2 linked regions of the Drosophila melanogaster genome follow. The protein of the gene in region 2 interacts with the protein of the main gene of each other region in a pairwise test. Each region holds a gene or a part of one and is shown on either strand. Other genes may lie near its edges. The genes, in order: CG3880 and NitFhit.

Evidence for each region.
Region 1: the proteins of NitFhit (region 2) and CG3880 interact in a two-hybrid assay, tested with the Drosophila melanogaster proteins (one large-scale study listed by BioGRID).

Annotation. Positions count from the first base shown.
Region 1 is NT_033778.4:24,758,488-24,763,122, reverse strand, and holds CG3880 (uncharacterized protein), read right to left. Parts: upstream 2,460-4,635; 5' UTR 2,277-2,459; intron 1,842-2,276; 5' UTR 1,836-1,841; coding exon 978-1,835; intron 922-977; coding exon 577-921; 3' UTR 518-576; downstream 1-517. Other genes in the region: CG12848 (uncharacterized protein), read left to right, coding at 151-513; spz6 (spatzle 6), read right to left, coding at 2,909-3,539, 3,940-4,266, 4,327-4,625.
Region 2 is NT_037436.4:202,053-206,064, reverse strand, and holds NitFhit (nitrilase and fragile histidine triad fusion protein), read right to left. Parts: upstream 2,336-4,012; 5' UTR 2,275-2,335; intron 2,222-2,274; 5' UTR 2,206-2,221; coding exon 823-2,205; 3' UTR 756-822; downstream 1-755. Other genes in the region: Gk1 (glycerol kinase 1), read left to right, coding at 428-697, 2,446-3,576, 3,636-3,851. UniProt on the Drosophila melanogaster protein: Cleaves A-5'-PPP-5'A to yield AMP and ADP.

The sequences.
Region 1 (4,635 bases), on a different chromosome or scaffold from region 2:
TACTGGCAATCACCACCAAAAGCAGGAACCAGTTCGTGACGTAATCTGAAGCAGCTGTTCAGTTGTCCAGGAGTCGGTGGAAATTACGAGGTGGGTAAAATCGTATTTTTTGACTGAAATGACCGGACTCACAGAGCCAAGGGGTTTCAGATGCGCGTACCCGGAGCCCTGTTTGCCGCGCGCGGCCGAGCGCCTCAAAGCGAGAAGGACGTGCCCTTCCAGGAGATTCTGCCTCTGCGGCTGAAGAACACCGTGAGCGGGAAGGCGGACTCCGGATCCGATGTGGCCTGTCTCCAGGAGATGGGCGTGCTGTTCGCCTGCTTGAAAGACAACGAATTCGTGGAGAAGTACTGCCACAAGGAGATCAGCCAGTTCCAGAACTGCTACAAGTGCTACATGGACCGTAAGTTTGAGGCGAAGAAGACCGTGAACCAGGGAATCGTCCAACCGGGCAGCAACCTGAACTACAAGCAACTTAACAAGTACATGCGCCGCTACCCCAATCCCGTATAGCTTTACATAGTTCAAGTTGTTTAATAATACACTATTTACAATGTACGCAGCAGCATTGATTCGTCAGTAGACCACGTCGGCGTCTCCCAGCCCGGCCGAGGATTGGCTGACCGGCGAGGGCTGGCTGAGCACGAAGTTGGGCATGGCACGCAGGAACTGCGGATGGGAATGAGAGTGCTGCGCCTCGTACAAGTCTGACAGAAGCGGCGGCTTCTCGCGAACCCGACTGAGCAGATCGGACATCTGCCTCGGTTTTGGGACGGTGGGTGTCGGCACAGCCAAATTAATGTGCAGTGGGTAGCCGCCGTGCTCCCAGGTGTCGGCCAGAATCTGGAGGCTGCGATTGGCCTCAAAAACGCGGGCGCGTTGAAAGTTTAGCCTTTCTTGCTGCAGTTCAGACCACTGATCCTGTGCGAAAATCAGGAAAGGGGTAACTATTAATTACAAGCTAGAGGACTACTTACAAATCGGGTTCCTAAACGGCCGAAATACTTTATCTGCTCCTGTACATTGAGCACCTGCATCATATACCAATCGCGTGCCTTCTCCACGCCATCGAGTCCGAAAAGAAGCAGTTCCCGCTGCTCCTCCAATTGCTTCAGTCTTTTTAGCATGTTGTAATCGATGCCGTGTTGCAGAGTGTGCCTCCGCGACTCTCTGCGCTTGCTGCTGGTCTTCTTGGGCACAGCCGGAAGGGCCAGGCTCCAGTCGGTGGCCGAAGCAGAGGTGGAGGAAGAGCCACCGTCAGCCGATCCACGGTGTTCGAATTGTTCCCGCGACTGCGTCGTTTTTGACTTTCCTGCGTCCGCCATCAGGTTCAGTTGCCAGTTTTGGAGGGCATGGCGAATGTCGTCTTTACCCAGAGCAGGGGACTTGGGTACCTGTCGTGGAGGTTTTGGCGGCGGAGCAGGAGAATGGAACTCCATCTCCGGAGCAAGAGTTCCGTGGGAACGAGGCCGCAACTTCAGGTCTTCCACAGCGTTTTGCTGATTGCGGAGCAGGCACAGCTTGAGGCCGGCGCAGAACCGCTCGAAGGAGAGAAGTCCGCTACTGGGAGTGACCCGACGGAGTGAGTCCACAACTCCGCGTGGCAGTCCCTTGGAGCCATCATCCTGCCAGCCCTTCTCGATGTCCGTGAAGCGCACGTATCCGGTCTGCTTGTCATCTAAGATGTCGAAGAGCTTTTTCATGGACAGGACGAACTGCTTAGGCAGCGTATCCAGTTCCCAAAATTGCGACTGCCCCTGTGGATGGCTGCCTCCCACATCGCCTATGCTTAGGTTCAGCAGACTGGTACTGGTATTCTTGTTCTGGCGGAGCATCTTCGTCTGCGGATGGCGCAAAATGGAAAGTGGGATGAGATTATGAATCGTATAGTCCCACGCTTGGCACCAATGCATAACTTATATTAATAGGAGCTCATTTGCATGGGTAACTCCAAATGGAATGTGTGTGAATCTGGCACGCTGCCTTAGGACTGAATCTCTGAGCTAAGATATTTCCCACTTATTTACAAGCAGTTTTAACAAATTTATTTTTATAAAATCGTCTAGTCGCCACACAAAATTACTTGATTTCAAACTCTACAATTTTATTTAAATGGGCTCAACTGAGACGTGCAAATGAATGATTTTGTTAGTTTCTTGCCTTCAAGTACCAAGTTTACTCAATGTTATTATCGCAGCTGCATCTGTACCTTAGTCCACTTTGGTTGCTTATTTTGTTTATAAACAAAGAGACGGCCCTCCATTTGGCTGACTTACCCAAGCTATGCGGAAAATTGGCTCCTGAAATCCGAGTCCGCGGCTCGTCTGGCAGCCTTTTGAGGCCGTTCGTCAAGGCTTCTGCGCAAACTCTGCAACTATTCTGTGTATGTAATGCAGCTCGGTCGCTTGGATCCCCGGCCAAAACACCCAAAGCCAACCAACTGGTTATATTGACTGCACACTAGATCAGCGGCCGAGGTTTTGGGCCCGAGTCTCGCACGCATGCGCAACTTGCGCGACTGGTTTCTGTGGGTTTTCGGTGGATCTTCCAACACAAGCGCAGCTGAGAGAGTTCCAGGAGGCTAACACACACAGGCTAGGCCAATACCACATCGCAGTCTCAGCAAAGTGCCGAATAGAGAGGCTCTCTTATGATTAGGTAGAAACGTATTTATTAGTAGAAATGCACTGCTCTTGGCTTAATCAGTCGAAAGAGGGAGCTAACCGCCTAGGTTAAGATTGTATCTGGTAGATGCACGAACTGCAAACTCTGCGTGATCCGTATAGGGCTGTGGGGCACCCGGGTGGATTACTAGAATGAGCCTTTCACCTCAAAGTTGTGTTCCTCTAAAGGCTAGAACTTAGTCTTATTCTAAGGATTTCCTTCGAAAATCCTGTCCAGGAAGTGTTCACAACTCGGCCACCGACTTCCGGCGCACGTACTTGGCGAAGTAGTCCGGGCGCCAGCACTTGCAAGAGCCGGGGATGAGGAACCAGTCGTAGTAGAGACGCACCTGGAAGCAGCCCAGTTCATCGTGTCCATCGCAGTGGGCGTCCACCTGCGCCGCGGGGCCGGCTGCTCCAGACGAGGTTCCGTCGGAGGCGGTAGCCACGCCTGCCCTCTTCTGCAGGTACTGCTGGTAGGCCTGGAAATCCTGCACAGAAGGGGCCTGAGTGGTGGTCGAGCTGGTGGGCACTGTGTCCTCCGCATTGGGGTAGAAGATCTCCGCCACCAACAGGCTTACCCAGCGTGGTGACGACAAGCAACCGCCGTCCAGGTAGTGACAGCGTGCCTGAATGCAACGCGTCACCTCCACCGTCTGGGTGAAGTAGCCCTCATAGGGAATCTGGACCACATAACGCCAGGCGCCTTGGTAGTTCTTAGCGAAGACGGGAGTAGCGTACTCTACCTTGGCGGGACAGGGAGTGGGAGGACCCTCGTACCGGATGGGACCCACCTCCTCGCGCCTTTCCGCAGTGGGCGTGGCAGGGGCTGCTCCTCCGGTGTCTCCCTGAATTGCCCTGTATAAGGTGCAAAATCTGTGGGTGGAGTTAAAAGTTTAAAAATCTTTTATTAATTGACCTGCACGCAGTTGTGTCGTCAAAATGCTAAGCAGTTGAATACCCCATGATGTACTCCTCTCTTAACCTATTCTACAATATCTATGGATGTCGATTAAAGTGTTGAGCTTCTTTAGTTGTATGGCTTTACATTATGATGTGGAAAGTGAAATGACAAGCTCATTTGGGTTCTTTGCCTTGATAATTCTTCGAATCTATAATTTTATAAAGATGACTCATAATTTTTAAGTGGTGACCTCTTTAGCTTTATATGCGCGCCTTTCCCGTGCTTTAAGAAATACGATATATTTATCTTTCATTTATGTAGCAGTTAAGATTGGAATAACTCTACTCCCCCGTTTCCATGCTAAAAACTTACACTCCACCGCCATCGCAGAATTTCCTTGGCTTCCTCTCCTCGGCGGCCCTTCTCTGCTGGTTATTCCGATCCCTTTGCTTGTGTTGCTCCTCCTCGTCCAGGGCGGGATCGAAGTAGCTGTACTCGTTGGACTCCACGCCCTCCGGCAGGCTGCGGCGGACGCGAGTGGAACCTCCTGCGGGATAGGGCCTGTCGATGTTGTTGCTGTCCAGCTGTTCCACGGGTTCATCTCGAATGATCTGGGTGACCTTGGGTAGGGTATCGTCGGCCTTTAGAACGGGCAAAGTTTTCGAAAGGAACTTCAGCGTTTGGTTGCGAATAAGTTCGCTGTGGAGGAGGTGTACATTAGAGATGTCTGAAATTTGTTACGCAAATATTTTCACCTACAAGGGATAGGGCTCCCCGAGTACATTTTGTCCCAGCGGATTCTTGGGTATCTGACCCTTGTTTAGATCTCCGCAAATGTTGTGAACGGACACGGCAGACTTCTTGCCGGCGGCCACGTCCTTGCACTCCGCATTTACAAAGGTGTAAGGTGGCGGCCTGACCTTGGGAGGCACCGCATTCGGGGACTCGACGAAGGCGTAATAACCCTCCGGAGGCTGCTCCTCACCGTAGTCAGATGGCGACTGCTGCTGCGGCTGGGAGAAACCCAATTGGGCCAGCAGCAGAAAGCTGAGAATTTTCTACAAAACA
Region 2 (4,012 bases):
TATTTCGTTGTGAATGTTCGTTTATGCGCAATACGTTTTATATATAGGTGTATTTTGTGAAAAATTACCTATAACAAAATTTTAATATGTAAATATTAAATTATAATGCACTTAATGAAGAAATAAATGATTTATAATTTTAAGGTTTGTTCCCGATAGCAAAAATCACGTTCTTTATGATGCATAAACGTTATGTCGCGCCCATTCGCAGTAAATATTTACTATCCGACGGGTTTTTAGCTTGCACACACCGCTATCGTAACGATTTGCAAAGAGAAGGCTCGCTCACCTTATCTCTTATCGCATAATTTCCGTCGAATATGTCGACAAGATTCCAATAACTAATTTTAGTGTGAAACAATCTCGCGAGAAAGCGTGCTGGCATTTATTGACTGTAAAGGTGAACTCTGGACACCACGTAAAAAAAATGGATTCTCCCACAACCGAAACGACACCGCCTCCACCCACGCTATCTGGTCCATTCGTTGGGGCTATTGACGAGGGAACCACTTCCGCGCGATTTATTATATTTCGTGCGGGCACTGACGAAATTGTGTGCTTTCATCAGATTGAAGTGGAGTCTATTTTCCAGAAGGAGGGATGGTGCGAGCAGGATCCCATGGCCATAGTGAATACGGTCAACGAGTGCATCACCGGTGCCTGCAAGAAACTTGTGGCCGTGGGCGGGAAGGTTGAGGTACGTCAATTTCAGATGAATCGATTCCCTCATCTGATCTATTCCGAAATGGCCGATTGAAAATCTATCTCTTTATTATATGTTCTTCATAAATCACATGGCAGGAAAAGGGGTGGGGTAAAAAGCTAGCTTATGTCCGTCAGAAATTTGCGATAAATTTGCGCCTCCTCGATCCTTTCCTCGATGGTACGCGGAGGCTTCTCCTCGGCGCGCTCATCTAGTTTCACGTAGATCTGGTCATTGTGCCCGAAGTCTCCCAGACGGCGGGGCATTATATGAAAGTGTACATGGGGAACAGTTTGTCCCGCCTGTGCACCATCTTGCACAGTGACGGTGGCGGAAGTTGTCTGGTAAATCTTCTCAAGCAATCTTTGCACCAGACACACAGTGGTGAACATATCCGCCATTTCGGCACAGTCGAGGCCACAAAGGCGCGGAGTCACTCGCTTAGTGGACACAAGGACGTGACCCTTTACAACACAGCGCAGGTTGGTGAATGCAAAGCAGTGCTCAGACTCATAAAAAATTGTGCGCTTGTCCACGATATTAGTGGCAAATGGTCGATCCTGGGTTGGTTCTTTGCTACGAAGGTTGTAGGCTGTTAAGGCGTAGATGTCGTTTCGACGATGTTCGAAGCAGGGCATGGTCTGATACAGAGATTGAAGCACGGAAAGGTCCACCTCGGCCGTGCCTATATCAAGCTCCTGCTCGCTGCAGTCAGCCAGTACGTTTCCCCAGGGGCTAACGATCATGCTGTGGCCCCAACTCTGTCGCTTCTGGTTGTGCCAACCTATCTGAGCCGCAGCGACCACAAAGCATTGAGTCTCTATGGCTCTGGCCCGCAGGAGGATTTCCCAGTGCGCCTTACCGGTTGCGTATGTGAATGCGGATGGGTATGTTAACAAATTGGCACCCAGCTTCCTGAGCAGCACCGCCGGCTCAGCAAAACGCAGGTCGTAGCAAATCTGAAGCCCTATCTGGCCAACTGGAGTGCTCACTGGGCGCTCAAGGCAGTATCCCGGCGTAACTGTATCTGATTCGCGTAGGCGAACCTCTTTAGTCGTAACATCAAACATGTGCAGCTTTCTGTATACTGCTGCTAGTTCCCCTTTCTCGTTGAGCAAAACATGAGCGTTGAAGATTTTTTGATCGTTCCGCTCGTGCACGCCACCCAGGGAAATCCAAATTTTGTTGCACTTCGCCAATTCCCGGTACTGCGCCATTAACTCGCCGTCCAAGCCCTCGGAGAGCTCAATAGTTTGGGTCCGGCTCTCGCCCACAAAGTCACAGCACTCAGGCAGAAAGAGCATGCAGGCGTTCTGTGACTTGGCCCTATCCACTAGCTCTATCACTTGGCTAAGATTAGCCGCCTTGTCGCTGGTAGAGCGCATCTGACCCACAGCAATGGTCGCACTTTGATCCTTCCTCTTTTGGACGGACATCCTGCGTAGCTGCTGATGAATGGCGATCACAATGCTGCGTCTCGTGGTATTAACTAGAGTTGACATTGAAACGGGTCGCCGGCTGTGGAAAATTTTCGAATCGTTACGTCGTAAGATGTTATCAATTATTTTTACCTAGTTGTTTACTGCGCTGCTCTCTTTACCATTCCCCTAGCTTACGGCGTTTCCCAGAGAATGGCAAACAAGTGTGTACACACACAACCAAGGAAAGAATATACAAGAGTTGACCGTTTTAACTTAATTCGAATATTTGAAATAGAATCCTAAGCTTTCGCCTCGTTTCAGGAAATAATCACGATTGGAATAACAAACCAACGCGAGTCCACAGTCGTATGGGATAGAAACTCCGGCCAACCGCTGGTGAACGCTATCATCTGGCTAGACAATCGTACCACCAGCACGGTGGAGGAGCTTTTGGAGACTATTCCGAACAATGCCAGGAACATCAACTACCTGCGCCCATTGTGCGGACTTCCTCTGTCTCCGTACTTTTCGGGCGTGAAACTACGCTGGCTTCGAGACAACGTGCCGGTTGTCAGCCAGGCTATGGAGAAGGGCACGGCCATGTTTGGCACCATCGACACCTGGCTAATGTATAATCTTACGGGCGGGAAGGACTGTGGTGTCCACAAGACGGATGTGACCAACGCTTCGCGCACTATGCTCATGAACATCGAGACCCTTCAGTGGGATGCCAACTTGCTAAAGTTCTTTGGGCTGCCCAAGACCATTTTGCCGGAGATCTGCTCGAGCTCAGAGTTCTATGGCAGCATTGCGCAGGGCGTTCTGCAAGGCATAGGCATAACATCGGTTCTGGGCGACCAGCAAGCCGCTCTAGTGGGTCAACAATGCCTGGCCAAAGGTCAGGCCAAAGCCACTTATGGCACTGGATGTTTTCTGCTTTATAACACAGGACCTTCAATTGTACACTCAACGCACGGATTACTAACGACTGTTGGCTACCAACTAGGACGGAAGGCAGTCCCATTTTACGCCCTTGAGGGAAGCGTGTCCATTGCCGGTGCAGCATTCAACTGGCTGCGCGACAACATGAACCTTATTCAAAACTCGGGGCAGATCGAAACCATGGCTAGCACTGTGGACAACTCTCTTGACGTATACTTCGTACCAGCTTTCAATGGACTCTACGCCCCCTACTGGAATCAGGACGCTCGCGGTGTCATTTGTGGACTGAGTGAAGAAACAACAAGTGAGCACATAGTAAGAGCCACCCTGGAAGCAGTTTGTTTCCAGGTCCGTGATATTCTCGATTCGATGCACAAGGACTGCAAGATTCCACTGGCCAAGCTTATGGTAGACGGGGGCATGACTGTGAATAATCTGTTCCTGCAGCTTCAATCCGACCTAGTAGGAATTCAAGTACTCCGGGCGAAGATCGCAGAGACAACAGCGCTGGTTAGTACTTTAACTTGTGATGTAAATGCAGCTTCAATAATGCTTCAAAAATGCTTTAGGGAGCTGCAATGGCAGCCTACAAAGCCGTTGAAAACCGATACCAAATGGAGGCTCCACTCTCTAAATCTGGCCCCCGAGAAGCCATAAAGCCATCGATCAGTGCCACCGATCGCAACCTGCGCTACCAAAAGTGGAAAATGGCTATCGATCGTTCACTGAACTGGGAGACTTCGACGCTTCCACAGGGCGAACGGGAGGCCTTTGACGGAGCGTGATCACAGCTAATGTCTGGTAACGTTCATGTTCTTCTATTCGTAAATCAATTGCTTGGTTTTTCGTATTCGAAATTTCCATTTATTACATATACATATAAAAATGTTAATTAAAAACGTAAAGTGTTTTTCTGTGCGCTGTGATGCTCTGGCAGTGTGTTCCG